Linked DNA regions of Alligator mississippiensis. The protein of the gene in region 3 interacts with the protein of the main gene of each other region in a pairwise test. Links are inferred from orthologs where the notes say so. Each region holds a gene or a part of one and is shown on either strand. Other genes may lie near its edges. The genes, in order: DNAJA3, KIF20A, ATOSB and FHL5.

Region 1 (7,442 bases), on a different chromosome or scaffold from region 3:
TGCCAGGCGCCTAGCACCGGCCACTACTGCTTATCATGAGCAGAGCTGCCTCTCTGTATATCCCCCTCCCCAAAAAACTGTCCTGTACCTCCAGCACAGTGCCACAGCTTACACCAGCTCCTGGCCCATGCGCCAGAAGCAATGCTGGGCAGGCACTGGCATCAGCTGTGGACACAGGCAGCAGCTTCCCCCTGGGGACTGGGGGAAGCTTCTCCTTGGGGTAGAATGGCAGCTGGACACTGAACCTGCTGCCCACACCCACACCATCTCCCTTCCTCCCCTCCCCCTCTGCAGACCCATTCCACATAGGGAAGCTTGGTGAGCTATTGCAGGGTGGGGCGCTAACCTCCTCTGCAACAGGTCCCCAAAACTCCCTAGATGGCCCTCGGCCCCAAATTGCCCACCCCTGCACTAGATCCTAGAAGAGGGGATCCAGCATTCTGCCCAAGGTCTAAAAAAGCTGTGTGCTTTCATCAACAGGAAGAGGAGTAGCAATTCCCAGTGGTGACAAGGAGCGGTGCCAGGAGCAGCACCAGTGGAGCAGAGAACCTCAGATGTGGTGAGGAGTGGCAGTAGCAACTGTTGAGCAGTTATCCTCTGTCAGAGTACCAGTTACACTAAGGAGAGGAGAGGGGAAAGATTGGGGACAGCAGCTACCTTGTCTGCCCTAGCTACCAAGTTGTCCCTGCATGGAACTAGGGGAGAAATCTGGTCCTACTGACTGTGATATACTATGAAAACTTAGTTGGGATAGACTACAGACCATTACGGTCTTCTCCAAGATTGCTTATAAGTCTCACTTTTATGAGACCCTATGTAACTGTAAGTTTGCTACTGCTTGCAAGTTGGAGGTGTGTTCACACTGGAGGTACCAAGCAGCATTTTTTTCTTCAGGTTTCTGGGTGGGGGCTTGAGCTAAGTTGGATAATGTGTGTCAAAAGACAACCATCTAAATTTGACCCATGCTGTTGCCATCCACTGCCTAGCAGAAGGGTTACACTGGCAAACTAAAGTGTCCCCCATATTTAGCTGTTTTCTGAAAAGCTACTTCATTTGCAGGAGCAAATGTGATGCCCTTTGACTATCTCACAGAGCCAGAAGGAAATTATTTCAAAGGGTCAGACAGACATACTATATAGTTTTTCCAACCCAGCTTGCAGGCCTGGTATTCTAAAGATGTTTTGATCAAGAAGGACTGAGCAGGAGTCTTTGACCAGTGTAAGCCTTGAGCTGGCTAAGAGCAGAAGCACTATTTCCTTCCTGTGAGGGGTTAGGCTTTGCTGGCACTAGGAGACAAGGCTAAGCTAGCATCTCAAACCAATACTGCCCCACCACAAGCCGGGCTCCAACTGCCTCCTCACAGATAGACAGGGATATAGAAGATAAAGTGGTTTTTGATGGGGAGTTTTTTTTTCTGTTTTCAAGAGCCACCAGCCTCCCTAAGAGATAGTGTGTGCAGGTGGAGCATGAGGCCTTTGTGTAGCCAGCCCCCAGGCTCTGAGGGTCTCCACCTATTGCTCAGCCCACTCTGGTCTAGGGAGTTGTATGTGTGCCCCGCTACCCAAAAAAAGAAAAAAGGGCTCAGACCTGGTTTGGGGCCTCTAGGGGCTCAGCACAGCTGGAGTGGCAGTCACAGGCCCCAGCTCTGATGGGCTGGGTGTGAGGCTGGGCCAGGCCAGGCCCCTACTTTCCTCAGATCACTCCTCTCTGGGCCTAGCGGCTGCACTCTCAAACCTGGCTCCTGGGATAGAGTTTACCTCTTTGACCCAACTGGGCCACCAGCCATCACCATTACCCTACCAAGCATGCTCAAGAAGGTGTCACTGATTGTCCCCAAGAGGGATGCATTTTGAAAAAAAAAACCCTTGTACAGTACCGAACGGTTATACTGGGATTTCAAGTCCTTCCATGTTGGGATGATCCTGGTAGGTTCCTGCATCTTGCCCACATGACAAGCAGGCCCTTCCCAGCAGCTTAGTCCAAGGTGAAAACAGCTCATTCTCTGCAGATGAGTCCAACCTAGGAAATAATGTGCTCAGCAAAACCTGAACTTGCTGCAGGGGAGAGAGGAGAGGGCACTTTGTATCTACAGAATGGGCAAGCTGCTCCGCTAATAACCCTGGGAGTGGAAAAGTCCCTCTGCTCTTTCCTTGCCCTACAGTTAGCCAGTGCCCCTGCCTGAGGTAGATCATTGCTGGTGCCCTCTAGAAGGGAGAGGTCCCTACTCTATTCCCCACCCTCTGAACTAGCCAATCCCTATGCCTCCACCCATTCTTCAAGGAAAAAAGTGAGGAAAAGACAGCAATAAAAACCATGTTTCATATGAGAGAGTCCTTACAGTAGGACCTCCCTGCCCTGAGACATGTTATATTGGCAGGTATTTATACAGATTTCCCTTGATTTATGCAACAGATGCCTTCCCAGGGAACAGTGCATAAATCAAATTCACATAAAGCAAACCCAATTTACAATGAAACAGATAGGGATGACACTGGAGATTCCAGGTACCTTAGTTCTGCTTCCAGCTTTAACTTGCTGTGTGACCTGGATGTATTACTTTGGACTAAACTATTAAAAGGATCTCAGCCTGGCATCTGTTACAATTAACATTTAGACATCTACCTACCAGACATGCAGTTTGCTACTTACTTGGAAATGACCTTTGGTAACCACAAGGTCGGCAACTGCAAAGTTACTGTTAAAAAATGAAGTTATTAAAAAAAATATCAGGCTTGCTTTGTGCCTGAGTTTCCCCATCTGTAAAACAGGGATATGCCTACTTTCTTGGAATATTAAGATAACTAACTAGTTCATGTCTACTGCTCTGAGATTCTCTGATGAAGGTTCTTTAGGAATTCAGATCATAAGTACAGTTGCTTCAATACTGCCCATACCCACTTAAACATGTGAAGCAAGACTCCACACAGATGTTGATAGTCCCAAAATCCTACTCTCACACTACCCACATTTAATATTAGGATATCATATACCTTATCTCTTCACCAACTGCTTATCATCACTTCCCACGTGTACCTATGGGGATGGGAGAAACATAACATGGCTTCTTTTCAGTTACTTAAAGGTAGTCTTTCTAATTAAGAAGTGCATGTTCCCCTCAGCTGTGTACTTGTCATGAATCCACCTCTATTTCTAAATGTGCATTCTCTGCTCTTAAAGAGTAGCAATGATTTCTTAGGATGATATATTTTATTGGATCAGCTGTGTAGTTGTGAGTCAGACAAGCTTTTAAATGCAAGACATTCTTCATCAGCCCTGATCAGAACAAGCCAGGCACAGCCATGTAAGCTTAAGAAATTGTTACGGTATAGTCTGGCTTCTTTTTTCTTTAGGTTGTGGATTTTCCATTTTAAGTGTCAGATTTCAATGTCTTCCATGTCGTGGTAGTGTAAGAGCGATGGCATAGCCATGATGGTTCAGAAATGACATGATCTTTCACTACCATAACATGGAAAACAACATAATCTACTGCTTAACAATGCAAAATCTATAACCTAAGAAAAAAGAAGCCAGACTGCATTTCGTAATGTTTTGCGCATGAAGGCTCAGAAATAGACATAGCCAGTTGGAATGTGATCTCCTGGATCCAGGACCGGACAGAGCAAATAGCTGCACTTAATGTACCTCCAGTGCTTTGATAATGGCCTCGCCCTTCCCCTGGGGCAGGAGGTGAGCCAAGGGCAGAAGGGAGAGAGAGCTCCAGCATCTGCTAAAGTTGCGTGTGTCCCAGGTGCACAAGTGCAGGCTGAGCAGGCATGTTGTACAGCACAGACCCATTTTGCACCTGATGTTAAACTGACATAGTCTTCTACAAATGGCTTGTTTCCTTGGACTTCAGGGAGCTCAAAGCAGATGCAGCACCTGGACTAATGGACCACAAATAAAGGATTTTTATAAAAAACACAAGTCAAATGTCTAGTTGCTGTTTTAAAAAGGAAATGGGCAGAAAGCAAGCGCAGCTCCAGCCTGCCACAAAAAGGCCTCTCAGGTAGCAAGAGGGAGAAAGTGACAATCCGAGATTGGGGATGAGAAAGCCTGCGGCCAGCACGATCCGCCGGGTCTATTTGCCCGGGCAGAAGCTGAAGGCAGCGCGTCTCGCTGGGCAGGGTAGACAGTGGCACCTTCAAGCGGCCTGGGCCGCATCGCGTGGCGCCGCGGCACGCTCAGGGCAGGAGGAGCGGCCCGGGCACGAGGCAGCTGTTAAAAATACGGGGCCAACAGGAGACGCGGAAACACCGGCTTCTCCACGAGGGGACGGACGGGCGCGACGAACCCCCCCCGCAGCCCAGCCCCCTTTGCTGCGGCACGGAAGCATGCGCAGTGCTCGCCGCGCGCGGCCGGGCAAAGCTTGCGCGCAGGCGCAGTGCTCCGCGCCTTGGCCCGCGTGCGCCGGGCCGGAGGGCGCAGGCGCAGCGCGGCGCACGGGCCAAGATGGCGGCCGGCTGCTCCCCGCGCTGGCTGAGCGCCGCGGCCACCGGCCTCGGGGGGGTCCGGGGCGCCGGCAGGACCGCGCGGCTGGTGCTGCTGCGGCTCAGCCGGGGACTCAGCGCCGCCCCCGCCGCCGCCTTCCCCGCCCGGGCGGGGGCCGGGAGCCGCCTGCTGACGTTGAGAGCCGGGGTCAGCCCCGCGGGTGAGCGCCGGGCCGGGCGGGGGCTCCGCGAGGCCGTCGCCGCGGTGGGGGCTGGCTCCGCGCGGCCCGGGGGAGAGGGCGCCGGGGGCTCTGCCTGCCGTGCTGACGGTGGAGGCACGTGGGAGGCGGCCTGGCCCGGCCCTCAAGTCACGGCCTCTGCGTCCGCCTCCGTGCGGGTGTTCGGCGGCAGCAGGGCCCGGAGACGCTGTGCCGCTGCCAGCTGGGGAGGAGGCTGCCCCAGGCGGGAGTGCTCGGCCCTCTCCTGCAGCGCGGTGCGGGCCGTGTCTCCCTCTGCCCCGCGCTGGCTGGAAGCCTCGGAAGGGCCGACGTGCACGAGCCCATCCTTGAGTGCTGTAAATAAGCGGGAGCCTGTTGGACTGGCGCCATGTGCCGTCTCAGCAAATTCCAGATCAGCTTTAAGCCCCTGTTCCTCATCCTCACATCCTCCCGTTTTAGAGCCTGGCCTGTGTGAGGCCCACCCCAAAGCTGCCTACCCACGCAGTTAGTGTTGAAGACACCAACGATGCAGTTAGTGTTGTCCGGGTTAGAGGGAAGGTGGGGCAGACTTATGTTTTATAGGCTAGATAAATCAAAGATGTATAGCACAAGTCCTACAGGCTAGCAGGGTCAGCTGTCCTTCTCTGTCCAAGGTCAAGCCATTGGGAGCCAGGTAAATTAATCCCACCATTTCAATTCCTTCTTTTTTTTTCAGGGGGTCAAAATGAGTTTTCATCTTGCTCATTTTAGAGGACAGGGCAAACCTCTTTGCCTCTATTGAGCAAGATCTGCCTTGACAAAATGGAGGGAAATTTCATCTCTTAGATCTTATTTTGTGAAGAATAATGGAATTAAGATATGAAATTATTTGACTGCTCTGCTTTTACCTGCAGAATGCTTCTAAAGCTGCATTAAAATCTCTTCATGTTTTCAAGAGTCTGGGGAAGAGTAAATGCTTGCTTCTCTTAAAGTTAGTTGCATGTCTCCTGTAACTTCACTGTTACAGGTTTTAGTCTTACCTTAAAACTATAAAATGCTAGAAAATTAATTGAATATTACTCCATGGTATCTCATGATTTAAGCTCTGTGAAAAGTAGAATGGCTTCTTTGTCACACCACCACATATCTACTGTCTGCTGTGATCAGAAGTTGGCCACATACAGGGATGTTGCTAAAAAAAATTGTGAATGAAATCTTAAATTGTGTCAGAATTCTCCCTATAATTATTGCATTGGTTGTTGGCACCCATCACTATCTTAAAGGCGTGGTAATTTTAGCTCTGGTATATATATATTTTTCTAAATAAAATTTCTTTTTTGCACGTACCAAATTAAGCATCCTGTGTAAGCTTCAATACATTTTACAATCTTCAGTTAAATTGAAGTTAAAAAAGTAGAAGCTGTTTTTGATTAAGAAATGGTTTCTAAAAAACCCCTCATATTTATTTACCTTTTACAGATGGAGTATTCCATGCAGTTTTTCAGTGTAACTGTCTTGATTATTAATACAGGTTTCCCTCACTTTATGTGGGTTCTGTACATGCAAATTTGCTCTTATGTGATGACCCATTTTATACCAAAAATGTGTTATATGCGAGGTAAATTTATTCTTATGTGATTGGCGTGGTGGAAGCCCAGTCAGCTGCTTTGTGTGGTGCATTGTGGGAGTGACCCACTCCAAAATATAGTCTCTTGTGTGGATCTTTGCTCCTCACTCATTGTCTACGACATGCGTTTCTGTAGTTGCCATCCCCATTATGATTATGCCCTGTGCTTGTGTGTACTGTCTGCTGTAGGTGAGTACCAAAATTACCTTGTAAAAGTGGTAGAAATGGGTCTGGTGGTCAGTAAGTCGAGGTATTAGAATGTATCCCTATTTGTTACATTGTAAAGTCGGTTCTCTTTATGCGAATTTGAGTTATGCACCATTTTCCAGGAACACATGTTACAGTATAAAGCGGGGGAAACCTGTACACAAGAGCAGGCCGTGAAGCACCAGGAAAGGTTCTGCGGAAGGTCTGTGGTTTCTTACAATTTGTCTTGTTTTGACTTTTTTTTCTTTTCTGTCTGGCTTTTCTTAGGAACTAAAAATTATCCTTTAATATGCAATGCCTTGTTTCATACTGGTTCCTCCTCTTGCACCAAAGAAGATTATTACCAGATACTGGGAGTTCCTCGAACTGCTACCCAAAAGGAGATCAAGAAAGCCTATTACCAGGCATGTATGCTAAAGAAAAATGAAAATGGTTTAATTTCATGATTGACTTCGTGTTTTGAATTTTGTCTTGTTGGGGAGAGTGTATTATGACCCACTTTTTACTCTTACCTGAAATATACCAAAGTAAAAACTTCCAAGTACTGTCATGCTAGTGATTTTTTTTTTTTCCTTGCATGGTGGAACGAGGCCGATAATATATTAAAGGAAGTTCAGTGCCATCAGATAGATTCAACACAGTCGTCCCTGGTTAAATATATTATTTTGGGCAGTGGCCAGTATCTTTTACATCAGGGAAGGCAAAAGCCACAAAACTCATAAATATTAGTAAAATGCTGATTTTTATTTTTGGTATCTTTCTGTGGCCTTTCTTTTTGCGTTCTTTAAATTTTTTTTATACTTAAAAACCTCTAAAAATAAGCTTTCAGAGTCATTGGTAGCAAGATTATAGTTATGGTTCACTCTTGTCATTATGCATATTAAGAGCATTCTTGGTGAGCCAGGCCCTGCGTGCAATGGATAGGTGTTGATTGGCTGGCTCATGTGGAAAAGCTTTGTGATGCTTCTTTTATTATGTTCCTCA
Region 2 (7,749 bases), on a different chromosome or scaffold from region 3:
GAGTAATTGCTAATCCCTACTGAGTAATTGCTAATACCTTGCCTTCAAACCTCTCCACAACCTTCCAGGGCACTGGTTCCATGCTTGAACTGTCCTAAGAGCTATGAAGCAGATCAAATTTGGAGAACAACTTTTCCCTGTGGGAGATTCAAGCAATAATCTAAATTTTGCCCGCAGTGACTAGTAACTCAACCCTGACCCCTCTAACATCTCTTTACAGACTAGTGTCTTGCTTCCTTTTTCCTTTCATTCAGAAAGAAGAAATCCAACTTTCCACCTTGCCTTGAGACCCATGTGCTAAGACCTTTATTCAGTTCACTCCCTTCTTTATAGATTCATAGATGTTAGGGTTGGAAGGGACCTCAATAGATCATCGAGTCCGACCCCCAACTGTCCGACTTTAAACTGTCTTCATTTTGTCTCCTTGCACTCTGGCACTGAAAACTGAGTGCTCCCCTCTCTATGACACCCGTGCGCCAAAGAAAAGAGACACCCTTGGTCCTTTTGCCTTCAGATTAGATCTGGAATCAGCTTTAAATTTGTCCCAAATGTTTTTTCTCAGTAGCAGCTCCTGTGTGGGGAGGAACAAGCAAGCAAAGTCCCACCTTACCCTGATAAGCAGCATCAGTAGCCTTCTTCTTCACCTCTGCCTCCTCCTCTTCCATTTTTTTCTTCCTGCACAAAGAAACAGGGTCCATGGTCACACAAATCCACCTGGTGCCACCCCATAAGCAGCAGGTCAAACACCCACATCCTTGATCTGTCTTTGCTAGCTAAGGTTCAATTAAGGGCATTGCATCCATCCAGCTTAGTTGCTTTTCTTAAGCCTTGCAACAGAGTGGCAAGAGAGAGAAGACTAATTCTCAGAGCCCTTGGGCATGGCTATCTCATGGGAAAGTGCAATAAAAAAATAGTAAGATAACAACCTACATCATAATCTCGTTGCACAGGTCCTCCAGCCTGTTATCCATGTGCCCAGTCTGAATCAGCTCTGCATCTTTCTTCAGTTGCCTACAAACAGACAGAACTACCTCAGCTATTTTACAACTAACTGCTCCAAAGAGGTAGTTAACCCCATTAGTCTGAAGATAGGCAGAAGGCATGGCAGGGTGGTACCCTAGAAATTAAAAAGAGTCTTTAAGGTGTCACTTGACCCTACACCTTCTGCACAGCTGCTCCAAGCGAGCCTCCTGTTCCCTACAATTTTCCCTGCCAGACCTCCTCCTTCAGAGCAGTGAGAGTTACACAGACTTGCAGACAATACCTACCTGTACTTCTCCTGTGTCTCCTTTATCATTTTCTTCAACTCCTCAACTCTTTCTGCTGTCAGTTTCCTCACAATGACATCTTCCACCGTTTCCACCACCTCCCCCTTCTCACCGCGCTTTCTCCTACAGAACAAGGGCCAGAAAACAAACATAGGCACCAATCACAGGAACCTCCCCAGTCCTCCTGAAAACAGCACCAGCTGCCCTGGCATCTGTCACATCTGTACCTTCTCCCCCCTCACCTTTTCCCAGCACTAATACTGGAACTCACATTGCAAAAATCACTTTCTCTTGAAAAGTCTGCCTAGCCAGATTCCCTTCTGACAGCAGTTTAGGTGGTGTGGAAAAAACCCATAACAGACAATTCTACACTAACTTTTTCACAGAGCAAATGCCTTTCTCTACTCATACGAAACACGTGTGGTTACTAACCTAGGCCAGGAGTGTTTGCATTCCTGTCAAATTTTTACCCTCGTTAATTCAACTTTGGAAAAAGACTTTTACTATCCATGCCTACGTATAAATCCATCTCAGAAGCCCATGTCAGTCATTTATGCACAGCAGAGACATAAATACTACTTTCAAACACTACAAATTTCCTTAGGCATCAATTACCAACACCAGTGCCCAGATTCAGAGCAAGAGATGAACACTACAGCTTTCACTGGTACAAAGCTAGTGTCCAGGAGAAGAATAGGGTTTCATTTGCCCCTCCCTAAACAATCCTCAAATACTGCAGGTACATAAAAGGCAACATAAAATATTAGCTCTCCTGCTCATCATTCTTACTAGCTTCTATTCTCCCAAATTTTCAGTATTCTGAGCTGTAATTTTAAGCACACAATTTTTGTTTTATAAGTTTAATTTGTTTCATTTTAAGATCTGCTGTATAAAAAAGAACAAAGCTATTTTAGTATGCAATCTATGTCCTTTTAAAAGTAAGTTATTTTTAAAAAAGCAGCATTTTTATAGAAATTACCACACACTATGTTGCCTCTCTAGCTTCCTCAAACCAGCAAGCTGAGAGCTGTGCTGGGAACTGCAGCCTAGATGCCTCAATACCTGTAACCCACTGGTTCAGGGATGAGTACAGGAGTGGTGTGAATGAGCACTCAGGATAGCACAATGACCAGTTCTAGAACCACTTACATTTGAAATGGTCCAGTCCTTTGAGCTAAGTAACAAAACATACAAAAATGAGCAAAACGCTCTAGGTAATATTACCTACCCAGCATCTCCTGTTAGGTTAGGGGGTAATTTCAAACAACGGCCCTACTCTGCTCACTTTCCACACCCACACAGTGTGACCAGATTTCTCTGCCGTGCCTGCGCCTCCTTGCTCAGTAGCAGCCAATGCACTGTCTGATGCACTGATGACACCTCCGCCCCGCCAGAGGTACTGCAGACACCACATGCCTCAGCCTTTGCACTCACTTGGGAGTCTCTGTGGTCTCCAGGAGTTCCGAATACTGAGATGCGCAGTGCTAAGGAGAAACAGAGGGAGTCAGAGCACACAGAACAGTCAACACAGCCAATTCAGTTTATTGGCAAAGCTCTTGGGTTCCCTCCTCTAACAGCCAGGTAGCCTTTGAGCATGTTTTCATGTTTCCCATACTAGTACTGTAGCAGGAAAATACTGCCACAGTACTAGTATGGGAAGCTGCAGTGACTTCCCAAGCTGCTGTGTACCCAATGCATCTATAAGGAGGGTCAGCTAGCACCACAGAGTCAGCTCTGTAATGCCAAATAAAAACTAGGAAAGAATAAATTAAATTAAAAAGGTGGCCCCACAAATTAACACGTCCTCCCCTGGTTTTCCAAGATCCTGATCTTTGAACAGTCATACTCCAAAATATCAGTGCTAGTAATAGAACAGGTTGAATACAACATGATGCTTAAAATTACAAATCTAAACTATGATTTCAAATCAACAACCAAAAATCTTTGATTTAAATAATAAATTATAATCCCATTTTGCATTTATATCGTTTAGCTATTCGCACTGAATGAGCTGAATAAGTGAAATAGAAAAAACACCTCTTTTCATCTGCAGAAGACTTGTGCAACAGTTTGGCTGGCGCTGCAATAGACTCAAGGCCAGGTGCTCAGACAGTGACTTCCACAAATTTAGGGGTGTTGGACCTAGCCGCGTTGGTCTAAGGACACTGGAGGTCAAGGCTCGTTGGGTAAATCCAATATCACTCCACCCAGGAAGAGCACAGACCATCTGCGGATGCTTCCTCAGCCTGACAAAGGGTGTTTGTGCCCAAAAGCTGGCTTAGAAGAATGTTTCCAACTACTTGAGTTGGTCTGATGAGAGATATCGCATTTATCCAAAGACTCGTCTCCCACAAATTTAGCAATTTTGCTTTCTTTGAAGTTTGGTAGCATGCGTGTAATGTGTTAGCTCTGTCTAATACCCTTTTATCAAATTATATCAAGTTTAGACCATAAAACAATATACTTTGTTTTATTTTCACATATGCTTTCATATAAATTTTAGTTTTAGAGAAAAACGAAGCAAAGCTGTTTGACGTTTAAATTAAAAGTCTTATTTAACGTTTTAAGTGGCCACTTTTCTACCCCTCTACTTGGCCGAAACTGGAGTCCCTTGAGCAAGAGCTCCCCGGCAGCGGGAAGTGCCTCCGCCTCCCCCTTACCTTCTGAGAGAACCAGTCAGGTGGGCGGCCCGGCTCGGCAAAGGGCTTGATGGCCCTGCTGACTGACACCCTGCGGGGGAGAGAAGCGGGTGAAGCCCTGCCTCCTGCCCTCGCCAGCGCCCGCTCAAGCCACACCGGGCTGCTCCCGCCGAGCTGACGCCGCTGCGACGCCTGAACAGCTTCCCTGCTCGCGGCGGCGCCGCCTGGCCAGCGCCCAAGCGCAGCCCGAGCACGGCTGATGGCTCGTGCACCGGCCCGCGCAAACAGAGCCAGGATTCAAGTCCTGCTGAACGGCAGCGACAAGCCAGGCCCTCGCCTCGCTTGTCCCGCAGCCCGGCTCCGTCCCCGTCCCCATCCCCGCAGCCGGCACCACCGCGACGACGGCCCAACCCCCGCCGCGCCGCGGCTCTCACCAGTTCTGGTCGCCGCTCCGCATGACGGAGGAGGCCAGGCACAGCTTCTCGCGGACGGACCACGGCTCCGTGGGGCCGGCGCTCAGCAGCTTGTGCTCTGCGGGGACGGACGGGCCTCTCAGGGGCGGGCGGGCAGGGCCTGCCCCCCCTCGGCTCCCCCAGCCCCGCCCGCCAACTCCCCGCTCCGCCCCGGGCCGCCCCGGCCCGTCCCCGGCCCCACGGCACTCACTGCCCGTGCCCGCCGCCATCTTCGCCGCCAGGCCCGGGCCAGAGGCGGGGCCCACCGCAAAGGTCGCCGGGAAGCGGCGCGCGGGCTGCCGGGAAGGCTGCCCGGCCCCGCCCCCAGCCTCTCTCTGGCCGGCGGCTCGGAGCGCGCGCTGATTGGCCGGCGGCTCGGAGCGCGCGCTGATTGGCCGGCGGCTCGGAGCGCGCGGTTTGAAACCACAGCACCCGCTGCTGCCCCCGAGGTCAGCGTGGCCCGGCCCGGGCCGGGGGGAGGGGGCGGCTTCACTGCCTCAGCGCAGCCTGAAGGACGGCCGGCCGGCCGGCCGGGGGCCGAGGAGGCTGTTGCCGACCGACCCGCCCGCCCTCCCGCCCGCTCTCTCTCGCAGGCCCCGCCATGGCGCAGGCCGCGCTGTCGCCGCTCGCTCCCGCGCTGTTCTCGGACGAGGAGGCCGCGTCGTCCCCGGTGCTCGAGTCTACGGCGGCCGAGCTGGGCCGGGCCGCGCGCCGGGACCTGCTCTCCGACTTCTCCGCCATCTGGCCCGCCGCGGCGGGCGGCCCGCAGGTGAGGGGGGCGGGGCCGGGGCCGGGCGGCGCTCGCGGGCCTCACCCGGGGCCGTGTGTGACCCCCGCTCTCCGCAGGCGGACCCCGAGGACGGTGCCAGGCTGAGGGTGCACCTGCGGGTCCGGCCTCTGACGCCGGCCGAGCTGGAGAAGCGGGAGGACCAGGTGAGGCGGGGGCGGCGGCTTTGGGGGGGGAGGGCCCCCGCCCCCCGCCCCCCGCCCCGGCTGAGGCTCCGCACTCCTCAGGGCTGCGTCTGCATCGAGAGCCCGGAGACGCTGCTCCTGCGGGCGCCCGCGGACTCCTTCGCCATGCGCAGCACGGAGCGCGGCGTGGGCCAGGCGGCGCACAGGTTCACCTTCACGCAGGTAGGTGGGTGCCCGTGGGCGCGGCGCGGCACGGCGGCCCTGCCGTTCACGCAGCTTTGCGCTGACGGCACCGGGGCCGCCCGCACCAGCCCCTGGTGTCTCCCTTCCCCCGCCCCGTCCCTGCGTCCGTCTGCTGCGCGTTGTCTCGTGCTCGCGGAGCAGGAGCCCTCGTCTTGCTGTCTGTCCGGTCGGCGCCCGGCGCAGCTGGCCCCCGGGCACGTCTAGCGCTCCTAGGATTATGTGGATGGAGCAGCCTGGGCCGGCTCTGCCGGGGTTCGGGTGGGGTCGGAGGTGGGTGGCAGTCCAGGACGAGCAGGGCTGCAGCAGGCCGGAGAGGGAAGTCCCGCGCACGCCCCTGTGATCATGTTTGCAGATCTTCGGCCCAGACGTCGGACAAAAGACGTTCTTTGACGCGACCATGAAGGAGCTGGTGCAGGATGTGCTGAACGGGCAAAACTGGCTGGTTTATACCTATGGCATCACCAACTCGGGGAAGACTCACACCATCCAGGGTGAGCGAGGCATCAGGTGTTGGCATACCTGGTCTCCTCGGAGGGAAGAAGTGCTGCTGTGTTGTGACTGAGCTCTGCTCACTGCTGTCCTCTCCTCCAGGGAGCAGCAAGGACGGTGGGATTCTGCCCCGCTCCCTAGCACTCATCTTCAATAGCGTGGGAGAGCAGCTCTACCGAGCCATGGATCTCAAGCCCTCGCTCTCCAGCGAGGTGGCCTGGCTAGACAGCCGGCAGGTTCAACAAGAAGAGACCAAGAAGCTGGCCTTGCTGCACGGGGGATTACGGGAGGTGAGTGCTCTTCTCCGTCCGCTGGGGAAGGACGAGGGTGCCCTGCACCAGCCTCACGTTCTGCCTGTTTCCTAGGAGCTGCTGACTCCACTGAAGAGGAGCCACAACACCGAGTCCCAGCTCCAGGCTGCCACTAGCAGCAGTTATGACAGTGGAGTGGGTGGCCTCTCGTCTACCAGCCAATTTGCCAACCACTCCGAGAGCAGCCAGCTGGACAGTATGTCTGGGACCCTACTGTGCCGGGGGAAGGGCAAGTCCTGGGTAGGAGGGGATGAAGCACACTTTGGGCAGGGGTAGAAACTCTCCCTTGTCTCCTCCAATCTGCTGGGGCTGCTGCAATCCCTACCACCCCCTCTGATTCTCCTCTGAAACCTAGGGTCTCGCTGGGCTGATCCAGACTGTGTCTCGCTCCATGCCTCGGGAGACGTGCAGTTCTCCATATGGGTCTCCTTTTTTGAGATTTACAACGAACAGATCTACGACTTGCTAGAGCCGGCTCTGCCTGGCCCGAACCGCAAGAGGCAGACGCTGCGGCTGTGTGAAGACCCGAGCGGCAATCCCTATGTCAAAGGTAGAAACTGACCCAGCAGCACTCTGGGGAAGGACCCTGCTGGATCATTCTCTCTCCTTCAGGAGACAGTAGTAACCTGGGGTGGATAAGAGAAATGTCGAGTGGCCAGGAGCGCCCATGGAAAGCAAGCAGTAGTAGGGGGAGGGATACTGCTCTAGGGCAGCAGCTCTCAACCTTTTTTGTACCAGGACCCATTTGTGAACATCAGCGGCCAGTCCTGCCCCAGTGCCTCTCACTCTTGACCTGCTAGGCCCCAGCCCCCCTGTGTGTGGGTTATGGGGGGCGGAAGGGGGGTGGGGCATGGTGGGAGAGACCCAAACAGCTCCTCATAGGTTGAAACTCTGCAAGGGAAAAGCCACAATTTCCTGCATTTTTCTTGTGGGAAAAGGAGAATCCATTTTTTAAGTCTGTTTGTGACCCTTTTGAGATATTCTTGTGATCCACTTTTGGGTCTCGACCCATGGGTTGAGAAACGCTGCCCTAGGGCATTTTTATACACAGTCAGCAGTTCCCTTCTGCTGAACTTGGGCTGGTATCCCTCAGGAGGCCCAAACAATGCAGGGAAGTTCAGCTTGGCTGTTGGCAGCAGTGAAGCCTAGGATGCGGTAGGTAGCCAGGGCCTGGGAAGGCAAACCACGTCTATCTGTACCACTTTCCCACCTGTCTGCTCTTTCAGATCTGAACTGGATCCACGTCCAAGATGCCGACGAGGCCTGGAAGCTCCTGAAGCTGGGTCAGAAAAACCAGAGCTTTGCCAGCACTCACCTGAACCAGAACTCCAGCCGCAGGTTGGGGGCAGGGAGAGGAGAGGAATGGTCTCCAGCAGGTTGTGGCGGGGAGGGCTCATTTTATGGAACTAGGTGCTGGACTGGTGCCAGAGGTGGT
Region 3 (7,887 bases):
GGAATTGGAAACAGGACAGAGCTCCCCAGCCAAGGGTTTGCCCTCTCAGGCACCAGCATTTGCCCTGGGTCAGAGCCAAGGTGCAAGGTGAGGTCGAGCCTGCACGTAGGATGCCTGCCCGTGGATTTCGGTCCCAGGGTGAGACCTTGGGACGAAGGATGCTCGCCAGGTGTAGCACCGTGCATGGTGTTGAGAACAGCTGAGGTCTGCCTGCTCGGCCGGTGCGGTTCGTGGAGCGATCCAGTATGATTTGGAGATGATTTGGCTGATTTGACCTGGAACGTGGAAAAAAAATGTGTGCTTCTGCTGCTTGGGCACAGGAGGGCAGCAGGTCTCTTCCCTGCGTGGGCTAAGCGCTGCCAAGCTGCGTGCGCAGAGGGGAGATCCTTAAAGCCAGTCGCCTGGGGCTTAACCCCTGAGCCCTGCGCCCAGCCAGGCCCTGGGTCTGGCTTCCCAGCCCCCTTCTGTAGGGTGCCTGGGGCAGGATCGAGGAGGCAGCGTGCTCCAGAGGGTAGAGCACCACCCTGGGACTTGAGCTGACAGTGGGGAGGCTTTCGAGGACGTCACTGCTCCTGGGTGCCTCAGTTTCCCCCTCTGTGAAAACGATGCTGACCTGCTAAGCGAGGTGCCCGGAGGTCTGCGGATAGCGTGGGGTGCTGCGATTCACAGGCAGGGGCTCTTCAGAGATGGGCCAGACCCTGAGGAGCAAACGCAGGGCAGGGAAGGGGCTGCAGCCAGCTCACACCTGCCCCAGAGGCCCCCACAGAGCTGAGGACGAGCTTCCCCCTCCCTTCCCAGGAGCAAATCCAGGCACCCCTGCTCGGTGCAGACCTGGGGCAACGATAGCCCACTGCCCCGGGGCCTGCCAGGGGCTGCTGCCACTGTCCCTGTGCAGATGCAGGGACCCCCAGCCCCAGCACCCGCCCAAGGGGACACAGATCCCAGCCCCTGGTGCTCGGTGCTATGACACGAGCATCAGGTGCTGCCCAGGGAAGTCACCGCGAGGGGCACGTTCCCCGAGCAGGGCTTGCCTTCCAGAGCGCTCCCCGTGCAGCTCTGCACAGCCAGAGACGGACTCTATCAATGCACTGCAATACATCCGTCTCCAGAGAGCGTCCAGACAGTACGGGACAGCGCAGCATTGCATGAGCAGCTACGGACCGTGACACGAATCGTACTCCAGGGGTGGCCAGACTGCAAGGACCAAGTGTCCCCCTACGAGCTGCAGGTCGTCACACCTGGGAGTGCGGCACTGGGCAGGGCGGGGACGGCCTGGGTTCACCATAAAAGCGCTGCAGCCAAACAGGCAAAGCAAGCAGGAGGCAGGCTCCAGCCCCAGCGCCTTGCCCTCCAGCTCAGGGAGGGAAACCGGGGCCCGGGGGCTGCCCTTCTCTCTCTCCAGGTGTGTCCGAGCCACGCAGGTGGCTCTGCGCTTTGTCCGAGCGTGCGGCGGAGTCGTTCCAGTGCTGGAGACCTCGCGGGAAAGCAGCCTGTTCCCTTGTGGACAACGCTGCGGAGAAGAAGATGGAGAGAAGTGAGGCAGCTGCATCCCTTCTCCCCTCGGGGAGGGATAAGACCCAGACTTCAGTGAGCCTGGAACTGGAGCAAGGGGGTGCGAGCACGACGCGGATGGGAGAGTGCCTGGCGGGGCATTGCTTGTGCCCGCAGCTCCTTTATACCAGTGCTCCTGCCCGTGGTAGGGTGCTACCCATGGACCAACCCCAACCCAGGGGGTTTATTTAACCGGCACATCGGCAGCAGGAGGCCAGGCCGAAGGGACAGGCCACGGTGGGCTCTGCCCTCTTTACAGCTCGTGGTCAAGTGCTTCTCGGCAGCCCTCTTGCCCCACGTCTCGTGGGCCACTGCATCCAGGGAGGAGGGCAAGCTGCAAAACTGGCTGAGCAGCTCGTGCCCCACCCCAAGGAGAGGCCGCGGCAGCTCCCTGCGCGTGCTCACACTCACCCCGGGGTGACCTTGCTGGGGCAGCCAGCCAAACGTGCCCGTCCGAGGGAAGCCCCAAGGGCCACGCAGCCCAGAAACAGGCCACGTCACCAGCCCACGCCCCCGTTTGCAAGGGGACACTCCTGGGGTCCGTGCAGCTACCCCTCTGGAGCTGCTGTGAGGCTTTATGCCATGCCCCCTCCCCTTCCTGGGCTCCCTCCCAGAGGTTTGCAAGCCCCACATGGGTGCCTCGTAGTAGGCAGCACATGTCCAGCCGCCACCCTGCACTCAGGGACGGGGAAACAACAGCTCTAAGACAAAGCGGGGAGGTGGTCTGCAGAGGGGCCATCACATCCCGGTGCCCCAGCCCTGCTTTGTTGGACAGAGCAGCTGGCAGTGCCACGGAGCAGCGCCACGCCAGCGCATCCCAGCGTCCACCAGCCCCAGCAGCACCGAGGCCACTTGCGGCGGGTGTCGCACACCCTCCCCTGCCCACGCAGCAAACAGCCACGGGCTGCTGCAGGGGAGGACGGAGACATGCTTGGGTCCCCCAGCGGGCTGGGCTGCGATGGACACAGGGGTCCCAATGTCTAGGCGAGGACGACGCCCTCCCTCATGGGCTCCATACGGCAGCTACTCGCAGCAGAAAGCAGGGCAGATGTGCACCTTGTAGGTGAACCAAAGCGTGTCTGTATCTGTATCTATAACCATGTATAGATACAGAATACAGATAAGGAGTAGACACGGACGTGCAAGGGTCCAAGAAAAGGAAGACTCCACACACAGCCAGCTTCAGATACAGGTTTCCTTCCTACTCATACAGGTTTTGAGTATCCACAGTTAATATTCTAGATACCATTTTGGCAACCACGGTATACAGTTTGGAGTAACCACGGTTTTCTGTGGCTGCGCATCAGCCCGCCGCCTGCCATTTCTCCCATAAGCCTTTTGTCTTGCCAACCACGGGAACTTTCAGAAACTTAAGCCCAGCGTTTGGCGAGGGAAACCTATATTTAAATCCATATTCATATAGTCTAATATTATAAAAGCCTTAGTCTGTCTGTCTGTCCATAACGCTTTATTCGCACTCTGATTGGTTGTCTGAAACAACCAATCAGAGTGCTCCAAGAGTGTTCCGGACAGGAGGTGGCGGTGCGGCGGAGCGCCGATGACAGCAGGGACAGAGCAGCTGGATTGGGGGCACCGCCCCCCCCCCCAGCCCTGCTCCCTACAGGCGGTGGCGGCATGGGGTGCTGGCCGAGGGGGCGGAGGGGGACGGCGGGGCAAGCTAATCCGCCGGCTCCTGGGAGACAGCAGCGGTGCGGGGTGGTGGGTGGCAGCGCTCCAACCCTGACCTCCCTCCCCCGTCATTCCTGATGGGCAATTGGCTAGTACAGAGATACATACACACCGTGTATATAGATCTCCGCGGTAAAGCGTCACCATCTACACGTGCGCCACGATTAGGATGCACGAAAGCAATCCACTCCGCCGTGGGATAGTACCGTCCAGGACGAGCACTATCCTACAGTGGAGTAATTTACTTCACCTGCATGCACGTGTAGACGGTGACCGGGGTTGGCGGGGGCATCGGGGTGCTACAGTGTGGGAGCTGACTGGCGTCTAGCCCCCACCATAGCACCCTTGTGCCCCAGCCAGCCCCTCCGCTGCCCGCTGCTGCCACCCACAGCTCGCCCCACGGACCCCCTGCCAGCCTAGGGCTGCTCGCCCTGGCTCAAACTGCTGCGGTCCCCGGCACACGTGCAGACGGCGTACCTAGGAGCGGCTGACTCTGGTGTGAACTGCACCCCAGTTTATTTCTGCTAATTGCACATGCAATGCACCCGCCGACACCACATTTGGGTCAGGAAGGAATTTCCCCCGCTGGTCACAATGGTACAGACTGGGGGGTTGTCTTCTTTTGCAGTGGGGGTCTCTGGAGCATCTATGAACCCCTTTGCAGCAGCAGGACATTGGAGGCGGTGGCCCCCCTGTTTTCCCTGGGGCAGGGTCGGGGGTGATGGGGCTGTGTCAGGGGTGAGGGTAGTTTTGCTGAACAATGTTTTATTCTTATCTGTACAGGGGAGGGGAGGGCAGGGGAGGGGAGGCAGCGCCTCGTTTGCTGCAGGCCAGCTCCCTGGAGCCGCTTACCTCCCTACAGGGCTGTGAAGAGCCCAGAAGGCAACCTCGCCTTAATCGAATCGATCGATCGATCTATTTATCTGTCTCTCGGTACCTCCACCTCTGCATCCCTGTGACTGTTTATGAATCGACATCATCTCTGTACGTCTATAGGCGACTGTGCACCTACCTGGCTATGCCGTCTCCACCTCTGCAGGTGCGTGTAGAGATACAGAGCTATCTAGCGCTGAGGCCTAGATGGAGCTGGAGGCCATATATCAATGATATAGGTGGGTAGGTAGGTAGGTATATACTCATATATAGGGACAGAGACAGAGACGTGGCGCTGGAGATGATAAAGGTAGATGTATAATCATCTGTAGCGCTAGTGATGATATACATGACATAGAAATATCATATTACATATGTATAATGTATCATCTGTAGGTATATAGTATATATAAATATATATATTCTATATTTTATATCTACCTTTATGTATTTGATGTGTATTTTATTCAATATAATTGATCTGTATCTCTATATCGCCGTGTGTACCCCCATGCAGAGATACAGACAGATGCATGGGGGGAGGGGTCAGAGGTGAAGGGTCACGTTGAAACTCGGGGTCCTCTGCGGCCACCTCGGCCCCGCCCCTCCCCTCCATGCAGCCAATCAGCGGCCGCCGCCCCTGGGCCCCGCCCCTCCGCGCTGTCATCACACAGCCGCACGTGGAGGGGGCGGGCCGGCGCTCTCCCCCCATTGGCTGCGGCCTCACCGGCCCGCCAATGAGCGGCAGGGGGCGGGGCCGCGGCGGGAGGCGGACCCGGAAGCGGCGGCAGGAGGTGGCGAGCGGCTGCGGGCGCCGGTGGGTGCCGGCGGGGCCCGCCCCGTGTGGCTGCGCGGCCGCTTGTATGGCCGTGCCCCGTGACGTCTGTGGCGTCATGGATGTGACGTATGCCGCGGGGGTCTCCCTTCGGGGTGCGCGTTCGAGTGGGGGGCCGCGGCAGAGCCCCCGGGGACGGGGAACTACCAGTCCCAGCATGCATCGCGCCTCCCCTGCCTTGCAGCAGCCGGCGCGCGCCGCGGTGCACGCTGGGACTTGTAGTCCACGGGCTGCCGGGCTCCATGGGGTCCCAACCCCCCCCCCCCCCCCCCCCCCCCCGGCGCTTCTCCCGGGTTTCGTGCCCTGAGCTCTCCCTCCGGGGCGCCGGGCCCCTCTCCCGCACTTGCATGACTGGAGCGGTGCCCCCTTTCCCCGACGCCCCGACCCGGGGCTGGTGCTTGTGCGCTGCGTTGCCCTGCCCGTCTCTTTGCACCCTGCAGAGACGCCCAGCCCCCCCCGCCCCCCCCGGGAGTCGGCAGCGTTGAGGGTTGAACGTCAGCGTGGGTGGTTACGGTGCCCCCGGGCACGGTCTGAGAGAGGCGTGCGCCGCGGTGCCCCCCAAGCCCCTTCCCCCTGCTCCCGCGGGCCGTGGGGCGGATCCGGGGGTGCCGCGCCTGCCGGGGAGTTTGGGGGCAGGAGGGAGCCGAGGCTGTGGTGGGTGTGGGTGTGGGTGTGGGAAGGACTTTGCCGGTGTTTCCTGCCTCTGCCATCCTTTTCCTTCTCTTTCCAGCGCTGTCTGCGGATCTGATTCCTGCAGGTAAGAGCAGGACTTGCCTTTAACTATGTGGGTCTGTCGGGCTGGGGCTGGCCCAGCCAGCCGAAACTGCCTGTACTGGTGGGGAGGTGGGATCTTTCTCCTCCAGGTCACGCGTTCAGACTCTGCTTCGGCTGGTGGTGCCGTGGAGCTGTCACCAGCTGAGCGGTGATTGGAACCAGGACGTGGAAATGTGTCCCCTGGTGATTTCCGAGGGGCCTGTGGAGGCTGCGCCAGGCCCTTGAAGCGGGGCGCTCCAGACAGGCTCAGGGCAAGAGTGCACCGGGAAGTTTGTCTTGGTAGATAACATCCTCCAGGCTGCCGGGCTCTTCGGCCCCCACCCCTGCCACGGGAAACTGCTGCGGGGGGGACGTGTGCATCGACGCCCCCGGGGGCTGGAATGGTAGCACTGAAGGGGCAGGCTTTTAAGCAGGGTTGGACTGTGGCGATCCAGGAAATGCACAAGAAGCAGTGGTTTGGAGGGATACTGCACCGGCTTTTGGGCACAAAGTGCTCTTCTTCACCCAGAAGCTCAGTTCTGTAAAGCTATTTATACAGGTAGTAGCGCCGATAAATGCTTTGTGGACTCTTCAGAAGCTCCTAAATAGGTTCCCAGTGCCCTGAGTAACTCAGTGGGGCTGGGGCACCTGGGGGGTCTTTGAAAATCACTGTAAGTGCCTAAATACCTTGTTAAAATTGGGCTGGAAAAATCCAGTGGGTCCCATTTCCCGTAGGACTTGACTTAACTCGTGAGACCCGAGTTTCAGGAGCGGGAGATGCATCATTCTGTCCCCTGCCGTGTGTGTGTGACTGATACAGTAGTGTCCAAATGTGAGAGGTTTTATATATGCGTGTGTGTATGTGTATACACAGCCTCTCGTATTTGGACACTACTGTATCAGTCACGTGTGTGTGTATGTATATATATTGTGTGTATGTGTATTTTTTATCATAGCACCTTTTTAAATATGTAAAGATATCACTGGTGATGCCTTTCCAGTGCACCCTGCTGAGAACTGCAGTGCAGACCTGGGTCTGCTTTTAACATATTTGACTGAGCCTGCGCTGTCCTTGGGGACGAAGAGGCAGTGAAATGTGGGGGCCAGCTGTGTCAGGAGGAAACCCTGAATGCGGAGAGGGGCTGAGCCCCTGGGGATTGTCAGCTTGTGCGTGTGCAGAAAGGGAGCAGCCTGGGTTGTGGCAAGCTGAGGAGAGCATGTTCCAGATCCAGGGGCGCTAAGGTGCCAGCCTTTGCCTGCGCCATTGAACCTGGGCTGGGGTCCTGGAACGCTGTGCTCAGGGTTTCCTCGCTGGAGCTAGACAGGAGCCATTTGCCTGTTTGGCTCCCATGTTGCCAGGCTCTAATGTGGTGCGTTATAAAGGGCTTTGGGTCGGGAGGATTAAGGCGGCTCATGATGGAAATGAGGTTTTTCAGCCTCGTTCCAGCTCGCAGGACAGCAGCAAAGCTAGGTCTGTTGTAGCAGGGCCCTGTGTCTTGCAAGAGGCCCTGTGGAAAACTACCAGTCCCAGCATGCAATGCTGCTCCCCTGTATTTGAGCAGCTGGCCCAGGCACCGTTGCATGCTGGGACCTGTAGTGCCTTGCAAGCCACAGTTCCACCCTAAGGGGAGGGCAGCCCCCCATTGTGCGAGGAGCTGGGGGGTCAGAGCACTGCTCCGTTCCAGCAGGGACGACGTGCAGTCGAAGGTCTGGCAGCTCTCCTCTTCCTGGCCCGGCCTCAGAGAGTGGACGGCATCCAGTCGCCCCACAGGGCTGCGGACAGACCAGCAAAAGCAGCTGGTTTTGCTCCATCTGGATGGGGAGCACAGTGCCACATCCATCCATGCCTCTGTGAAGCTAAGAAGGGTGCGGGGTCAGGGGAGATGCCTCCCCGTGCTTGGCCTGCTCTCAGAAACCTCCTGGCCTGGCCCATCCTGGCTCTGGCACACGCCAGAGCCTGCGCTGCTGCACAAACCCGTCAGCTGGAGCTTCTCCCCGGTGCCTGCTTTGTCCAGGGCCCGGTTGCGGCTGCGTTGCAGCTTGTCGCTGACTCAGCTTGTTTCTCTTCCCCTTTCAGGGAGGCTCCTTTCCCGCTGTCATGGGAGCGCTGCTCTGAGCCTGCAGTTCCCAGACACCTTCCGGCTGCTGGCAGACCTGTAATGCCTGAGTCTGCAGGGAGAGAGAAA
Region 4 (7,278 bases), on a different chromosome or scaffold from region 3:
TGCAAGGCAGCAGTTCTGTTCCCAATCTCCACTCTTACCCCACTCACTCTGCACTCTCCACAAAATGTTTGAGGGGATTGTCTGCACTTTATAAAAAAAGAATGTGAATCAAGGAAGCAGAGGTGCACCAATACATGGGTCCGATATTGGATCGGCACTGTTATAGAGAAAATTGACTGCATCGGAAATTGGCCTGATGTGGCCAATAATGTGGCCAATAAATGCCCCATGCATGCGTGCAGCCATAGTGCAGCACATAGCACAGCTCAGCAGTATGGAGAGCTGTGTCCAGCTGGTAAGTCTGTTGTGGTGGAAGGGAAGGGGGGAAAGAAGAGACTTGGGGGTGGGGGTAGATCAATGCCTCCACAGTGAGGGAGGGAGTGAGGCTGGGGCTGCACAGCCGTGGCAGGGCTCAGGATGGAGCCATGGTTCATCGGGGGGCAGGGCAGCGCCTGCCACTGTGTGCACCCTGGTGGGGAGGCATGTGCCTCCCAGATCTAGGCAGAGCAGGCTGCAGCTGTGGACTGGGGCCAGAGCTGCTCTGGGGTCTTCCTGGCAGGGGCTGGGCCAGCCTGCACCCAGGGAAGGTCGGGGTGACTGGCAGCACTGGGAGGGGGCGTTGAGGCTGTGGTGAATGGGGTGGCTGCAGCCCCCCACCGCCCCCATAGCTGGCCTCCCAGCACTGCCACTGCTGCCTGCCCCAAGCGCATCCCAGCCCAGCCCCTTCCAGGAAGAGCCTGTATGTGCTGCTCCCAAGTTGTCGGCCTGTTGTCAGCCATCCTTTGGCATGGACTAACATCCCTGTGACTGACCTCATCACAGATTTGCTTTAGGCAATTCTTTCAATAATAACTTAGGAATTAATTTAAAGTACAATTGACCAGCCTCCGCTGGTATAGACTTGTGGCTATCGGTTCTTGCCATACTCTGAGTGGGAATTCTTAGTGCCTTGCTGTGCCCCCAGGTACCCACCCAGCCAGCCACCGCTCCTGGCCTCGATGCTGCTTGGGACTTCATGTTCTGCCTCATCACTAGGGCTTCAGCCCTCCTAGGGTCTACTCTCACCCCAATGGATCACTTCCGAGCTCTGACTAGCCTCAGGTCCAGTTGGGGCTTCCCTGCTAGGCCTGGCATTGCCTCCTGGCTTCCGTCCCCACTCTTCCCCACTGGGTACCTCTGGGCTCCAATGCTGCCCGTCCAGTTGGAGCTCTGAGCCCTTCTCCCTCCAGTTCTTCACCAGGGTGCACAGCTGGCTCAGCTCTCTGGGCAAGCCACATGTGTCTTCCCAGCCATCCTTCACCAGGGTGCACAGCTGGCTCAGCTTTTCTGGTGAGCCACGTGCAGCTGCCCAGCTGCTCTTTACTGGGGCGTGCCAATGGCTCTGCTCTCCATGCGAGGCTTCCTGGCTCTGCCTCATCTCCTCCAGCTCCTCCGATCTTCGCAGCCACTCTGCCCAGCTGCTCCCTGGCTCGCTGCTAGCCCCTCTCCAGGCTGACGTCCTGCTGCAGCTTCCCCTTCCCAGCAAGCCACGCTGAGGCTCTCTGCCTTGGCTCTTCCCTCTGTGGCATTTCCCCAACGCTTTCCCCGACGCTTCCTCTCCCAGCGTGCCCTCTCTCAGTCCTTTTCCAGCCCCTTCACTCCCCGGGCCCTTTTCGCACCCTGATCTTCAGGCTTAGGCTGATCTTGAACTGCCACCCTGGGGCCAGCCTCTCTCTCCCTGCAGTGAGAGAAGAGGATCGTGGAGAAAAACCCGGTCAGCAGTCTCCTGCCCCTTCCCAGATATCATTTCTTGCCTGCACAGCTATGACTTGCCACTTGAGGCTTGATGGGTGGGGGGGTATGGCTACGAGCCAGGATGCCTGGACTCTTATCCCTGTTCTGTGGGGGAGGGAGAGGGGCTGGAAGCAGTGCTTCCTGGGATGCTGGAGGACTGTAACTTGGTTGTTTGAATTCCATGGAGCAGACTAGGAGCTAACATGAGCTAGGTTGCATGGCCCAGAGATGCTTGGACTGCACTTAAAAATTGATGAGCTTTAAAGTGCAAATGCTCGCATTTTTAAATGCTGTTATTACGGTTTATGACTAAGGTGTAACGTCACCTTGATTAAAGCAAAGTCGTAGACAAAAACACTGGTCATCTGAAACTTCCGGATAATTAGAAGGTTTGACTGTAGAAAATAGACGTTTTTCTTTCTCATACTTAAGACTATTTTCCCCACCCAAGTATAATCTGAAAAACATTTCCAGGATCTAATTGGGTAAAGGTATCTAGTGGGGTTCTTATGGGGTCTGGTACTGTTCAATATCTTCATTTATGATTTGGAAGCTGGGGTTGAATGTACACTTAGTAAATATGCAGGTGACACCAAGCTGGGGAGAGTGAATTTTGCACTTTGGAAAATAGAATTAGGATTCAGAATGTCCTTGATTAATTGGAGAAATGGTCCAAAATTAATCAAATGAAATTCTATAAGTCTTGCACTTAAATCAGAACAATTAAATGTGCTAATAGGGACTGGGGAATGACTGCAGTACTGCAGAAAAGAACTACGGTGGTTATAGTGGACTGCAAGCTAAATATGAGCCAAAAGCTTGTTCTTTTTGCTAAAAAATCCAATAGCATACTGGGTTGTGTTAACAGGAATGTTACCCCACCCGCAAGTCAAGGGAAGAGACTCCTCCATTCTGTTCAGCACTGATTGAGTACTGTATCTAGTTCTGGGCACCACATTTGAAGAAAAATGTGAACAAACTGAAAAGGGTCCAGCAAACGTCATTAGAAGATCAGAAGTATTCAACAAAAATGATTACAAACTAGGAAACATGACTTACAAAAACAAAAATGTTGGAAAAATTGGAATTGTTTGCTAACTGTTAGTAAAAAGACTAATGGTTATTATACATGGTGAGAAACTTACTTCCTGTGGTATTTCATTCTATACATGGCAAGAACATAGTGTATGGGTATATCTACACATTGCCTTCCGGCACCGTAGTGATCACGCAGGGCTACACATGATCGCCAGCTACATCGCCGTAGTGACCTGCTCCCCCAGTATAGTGTGCTGCTACGGCAATGGAACAGCAAAATCTAACCATGTACTTCACGCATGGTAGCAATGTCACCATATGGCAACACATAGACATGCCCTTTGTGTGTTACTTTGATTGGTATTGGGTTTCTGACAAAGTGATTTGGATGATAATTTGCTGCATTTTTACTTGGCAATTTTTGGAGTATAATCTTAAGTATCTGGTAACATTTCTTTAGAAGTGACAACTAATCATCATCTAAGATGTACTAAATGCTTTTGTTTAAAGAAAGGTGAGATGCATGTATTTGTTGTGGCTGTCTCATAAAACAGGGCTCCTGCTCCGTGAAACATTAGCTACCAAACCTGATGTAGCCCTTCAATATATTGTTGTATTAGTGGTGCACAGAGGGCCTGATGATGTAAAGTTGAGTTGTTCAAGCCATAACTGAACCACTGTTTAATTTCACTCTGGTTTTAATGGATACAATATTCCTGGTGAATCCATACTGGTGGTTCCTGATCCTCTTGTTCTCCTCTAGGTTCCTCACAATAGATGAATTTTTCCTCCAGTGAAGTTCAACCAAGTCCCCACACAAAATGGGGACTTTTGCTGCCCAGTGTCTGCAGGAGACTTTCCATTCAGGTTGTTCACTTTATCAAATGCTGGGAAAATTGCCCTTTACACATTTTAAGTATGAGAGCATTGAGAGGACAGAAAGGAGCCATTAGTTCTTGTGACTGGAATGGTTGTTGTTGCCTCTGTCCAGTAACTTTTGAATACAAGATCCACATCAAACTGGAATAGTAATGCCAGTGGTTCTGTACTGAAAGACTGGAGTTTTTGTCTCATCCTGCTCTGCCCCTTCCTGACAAATCCAATTCAGAACACCCCAAAGATCGAGGAGGGGGTGTGGGGAGTTTTGAGTTTCACTTCCCAATCAAGTCCCATGGAAATACTGCTGAAAGTCAATATACAATGGTTAAAGAATGAATAGGTTCAGTTTCTTTTGCAATGGTCGTTTTTTTCGGTTTTGTTTTGTGGGGGGAAAAGAGATATGTGGGAGTGGGGGAAGCAGAGGTTTTGTCCAAGTGCTTTTTCTTTGAAAAAGTTCTCAAAACTCATTCTGAGACTTGCTCCTTTAAGAACATTGTACATGATATATATTTTTCTACAGTGTGTGAGCATACTATGTCAAAGAATTGTTTTGATTTCAGAGCTGAGGGAGCCAGCTATCTGCATGTCACAAGGTCTAAGGGAAACGAGCTGACCCTCAGCCTACTTCCACCGAGCCAAATTCTGATGGGATTCTTAAATAGCTTTGGCAAACAATTCTGTTTCTTTTGGACTTGATGAATGTTTCTGAAAACATCTTATTTTTCTTCCTTTATTTTGCTACACGGTCACCAACAGAAGCAGCTTGAAATCAAATGTAAGTATTGTATCTCCTTTCTCTTACCCCTGTTTTATTTGAGAACATTTTGAAATGCCAGGGTACCAGGTGACCAATGAACAGTTTATGAACAGCTAAGCAAGAATTTCTCTTTACACATGACTTCTAATTTCATCTTTGATTCTGAATAGACTGTTTTAATTAATTACAGTGACTTAACGAAGATAAAGGCATATGCTATATATATCAAAAAGTAGATTTTTCCTGAATTTTTCCTTTAAAATGCACCTTCTTCAAATTTCCTGCAGTTGTGTGAAAATTTTAACAGTTTTCTTAAGATATACCAAGAAGAGGCTCCAACATTTGTTTGAAAGTTTAATCATATCCATGCTATTAATTAGATTATTAATTACTATCGTTTTTTGTTTTTTTTAAAAGAGCAACTAGACCTTACCATCATCTCTTCAGGAAATTAACAAAATGTATGTTTGTTTTCTCATAGAATTGGGACAATGTGTGTTGGATATTTATCTACCATTGGGGGAGAGCTCTCAAATGTCCCTTTAAATTTCATACAGATTTAGAATTTAAAGGATTACAATTAGGTTGAAGAGATGTATCGGTGCATAAAAAAAAGTTTTGCATTTATGGATAAAAAGATGGAAATTATCCATAATTGAAGGACAATACAATATAAAATCGGTGCTACCTGATTTCATATAGGTAGTAGAGAGCACTATGTTTGGTGCTATGTTCATATAGGTAACAGAGAGTCATTTTTCCTTTTGAATACAAGACCAAAATCGTACTTAATAGTTTTATTAAACACAATTTATATTGTAATCACAAATATATTCTGAAGTATACTATTTTATAGCTTTCTCTATTTTCAACATATTTGTTATACACTCTGAAGCTCCAACTTCTACTAGTTGAAAGCGAGAAAATTGCAGGGCTTTTGAAGGAGCGACGGATCAGTTTTGACCCATGGTATCTCAAGGTTATTTGTAGGCAAAGTTTGAGGAATACTTTTGATAGATATCATAAATCCCTTAAGATGTCCTCTTGCCCACATGCCGGTAAAGCCAGCTTTCTTTACAATTTATTTTCTGCTGTTACGGTTTAATTTTAAAAGCTGAAGTCTGTGTAAATAGCAAAAGATGGGGTCAAATTTACTTTTTGTGAGTATTTCCCTGTCAGTTTTCTGAGAGGTGCCACATAGAGAAATTCTAAGAATTCAATCTCTTCCAGTCTAGTTATATATGCTTCATAGTTCTTGTGGAGCCCCCAACACTTTGGCTGTGATGGACATGGAAAACTAACTAACATGATGCCTCTTGTGGGCATGATGCCTCTTGACTCAGCACAGGGGTGCACAGAGTATAAAGTAAAGCACCGTTTACTTTGGGGGGGGGTTACGTCTGCAAGCAGGCTTTGTAAATAGGAATAATGAAATGCCACTTATGTTCCATTTTTTTATTTGCATTTATTAGGAAGTGGTCATCCAGATCTGTGGATGTGGCTTTGAAAATCTCAGTCCATTTATCTTATAGACTTTTTTCCATTAGGGAGGGTTTGATATAATAGGAATTAAATTAATAGGATTCTTCGGAAATTGAACAGCACTGCACAAAAGCTGCTTCAAAAATACAGGAAATCTAATGGAAAATGATAAAAAATCTCTCTCATAGCTCTTTCATGTATACAATTTTATAAAACTATAAGATGACTGACAAAGTAGTGGCTCGTCCCACCTCATTGTTTCCAGTGCTAAGGCTTTTCTTTGATTCCTGATAATCTGACTTCAGAAATTTCCCTCCATGTATTTCTTGGTCTGGCTTGGCTTTTGCAACTCTTTGCCCTGAAGCTGTTTTAATGTTTCCTGTGTCAGGTTCTTTTTTATTTCAGTTTCTTTTTGTTCCCCCATTATTCTAGTCATGGTACTTCCAGTAGTTCTCATGAAATATATATCAATGTCCTTCACAATCTTATCTCTTCTAGCCACCTACTCATCCTGTTAATTAATTTGTACACAAAACACTTTGGATAATTTATCATCAGTTAAAACGTAGTTGTACATGCATGCTAAATTGCAATGGAATTTGCTCCAGTTATGCCATCGGAAGAACTTGTCAGGCTAAGTAGACACTCTTCAGCTTTAAAGGTATTAATCTAAGCCATCCATAGCATCTGTCATGATAGATGATGCTTACAAAGCATTGGACACTTCTCAGCTTTTCTTAACGTAGACAATCCATTATCTTGCTGAATTATCTGCTATTTTGGGTGCATGTAAGTGTGCACCCAAGCAAGTTTCATATTATGCATAATGTTAGCCATATTTTAACATTAGCATATGGTTTAACACGGCTAATGTTAGCTTTGTTAAACCATAACTACTGGCTTATCAAGTTAATAAGTGGAACATTTTAGTGCACCAGCTCTTTACCAGATCATACTACCCAATGCAATAATAATTCAGTGATATCAGTAGTCATCCATACATTTTTAAACACCCAAGGGCTTTAAAATGATTGTAATGTTAAGTCTTAATTTGTAGTTACTACATTAAGTCTGGTGTATTTTCCTCCTTTTATCACAGACTTTCAAGCAGGATCTTGCCCTAGTCATTTCACTGTTTGCATGACCTATCTGTAAGATAAAGATTTTGCAGCATCCTCCTCTGTAAAATGAAAGTAATATTTGTCTCACAAGGAGATGATGAAGAGTAGTTTATTAATAATTTATAAAGTGCATTGGAATCAAAGGCTTGGAGCTGAAGCATGGAAGTACTAAGCATAGTAAGTCCTGTAAACAAGCCAGCTGTGATCCTTTAATTGGCCTGAAGATTA

The links.
Region 1: the proteins of ATOSB (region 3) and DNAJA3 interact in binary tests that used the Homo sapiens proteins (3 or more experiments, as listed by UniProt). The link is inferred for Alligator mississippiensis from reciprocal best matches to the Homo sapiens genes ATOSB and DNAJA3.
Region 2: the proteins of ATOSB (region 3) and KIF20A interact in binary tests that used the Homo sapiens proteins (3 or more experiments, as listed by UniProt). The two-hybrid records come from large-scale screens. The link is inferred for Alligator mississippiensis from reciprocal best matches to the Homo sapiens genes ATOSB and KIF20A.
Region 4: the proteins of ATOSB (region 3) and FHL5 interact in binary tests that used the Homo sapiens proteins (3 or more experiments, as listed by UniProt). The two-hybrid records come from large-scale screens. The link is inferred for Alligator mississippiensis from reciprocal best matches to the Homo sapiens genes ATOSB and FHL5.

What each region holds. Positions count from the first base shown.
Region 1 is NC_081836.1:25,253,432-25,260,873, forward strand, and holds the start of DNAJA3 (dnaJ homolog subfamily A member 3, mitochondrial), read left to right. Parts: upstream 1-4,434; 5' UTR 4,435-4,449; coding exon 4,450-4,648; intron 4,649-6,725; coding exon 6,726-6,862; intron 6,863-7,442. UniProt on the Homo sapiens protein: Modulates apoptotic signal transduction or effector structures within the mitochondrial matrix. Affect cytochrome C release from the mitochondria and caspase 3 activation, but not caspase 8 activation.
Region 2 is NC_081832.1:79,521,967-79,529,715, forward strand, and holds the start of KIF20A (kinesin-like protein KIF20A), read left to right. Parts: upstream 1-4,743; 5' UTR 4,744-4,808; intron 4,809-4,841; exon of another isoform or gene 4,842-4,952; 5' UTR 4,953-4,960; coding exon 4,961-5,128; intron 5,129-5,205; coding exon 5,206-5,292; intron 5,293-5,373; coding exon 5,374-5,493; intron 5,494-5,866; coding exon 5,867-6,005; intron 6,006-6,105; coding exon 6,106-6,293; intron 6,294-6,368; coding exon 6,369-6,510; intron 6,511-6,669; coding exon 6,670-6,864; intron 6,865-7,540; coding exon 7,541-7,652; intron 7,653-7,749. Other genes in the region: BRD8 (bromodomain-containing protein 8), read right to left, coding at 611-675, 931-1,011, 1,269-1,391, 2,703-2,752, 3,929-3,998, 4,342-4,438, 4,571-4,589. UniProt on the Homo sapiens protein: Mitotic kinesin required for chromosome passenger complex (CPC)-mediated cytokinesis. Following phosphorylation by PLK1, involved in recruitment of PLK1 to the central spindle. Interacts with guanosine triphosphate (GTP)-bound forms of RAB6A and RAB6B.
Region 3 is NC_081826.1:301,003,477-301,011,363, reverse strand, and holds the start of ATOSB (atos homolog protein B), read left to right. Parts: upstream 1-4,873; 5' UTR 4,874-4,930; intron 4,931-4,939; exon of another isoform or gene 4,940-5,017; intron 5,018-5,678; 5' UTR 5,679-5,705; intron 5,706-7,887. UniProt on the Homo sapiens protein: Transcription regulator that may syncronize transcriptional and translational programs.
Region 4 is NC_081824.1:82,616,216-82,623,493, forward strand, and holds the start of FHL5 (four and a half LIM domains protein 5), read left to right. Parts: upstream 1-4,269; 5' UTR 4,270-4,465; intron 4,466-7,278. UniProt on the Homo sapiens protein: May be involved in the regulation of spermatogenesis. Stimulates CREM transcriptional activity in a phosphorylation-independent manner.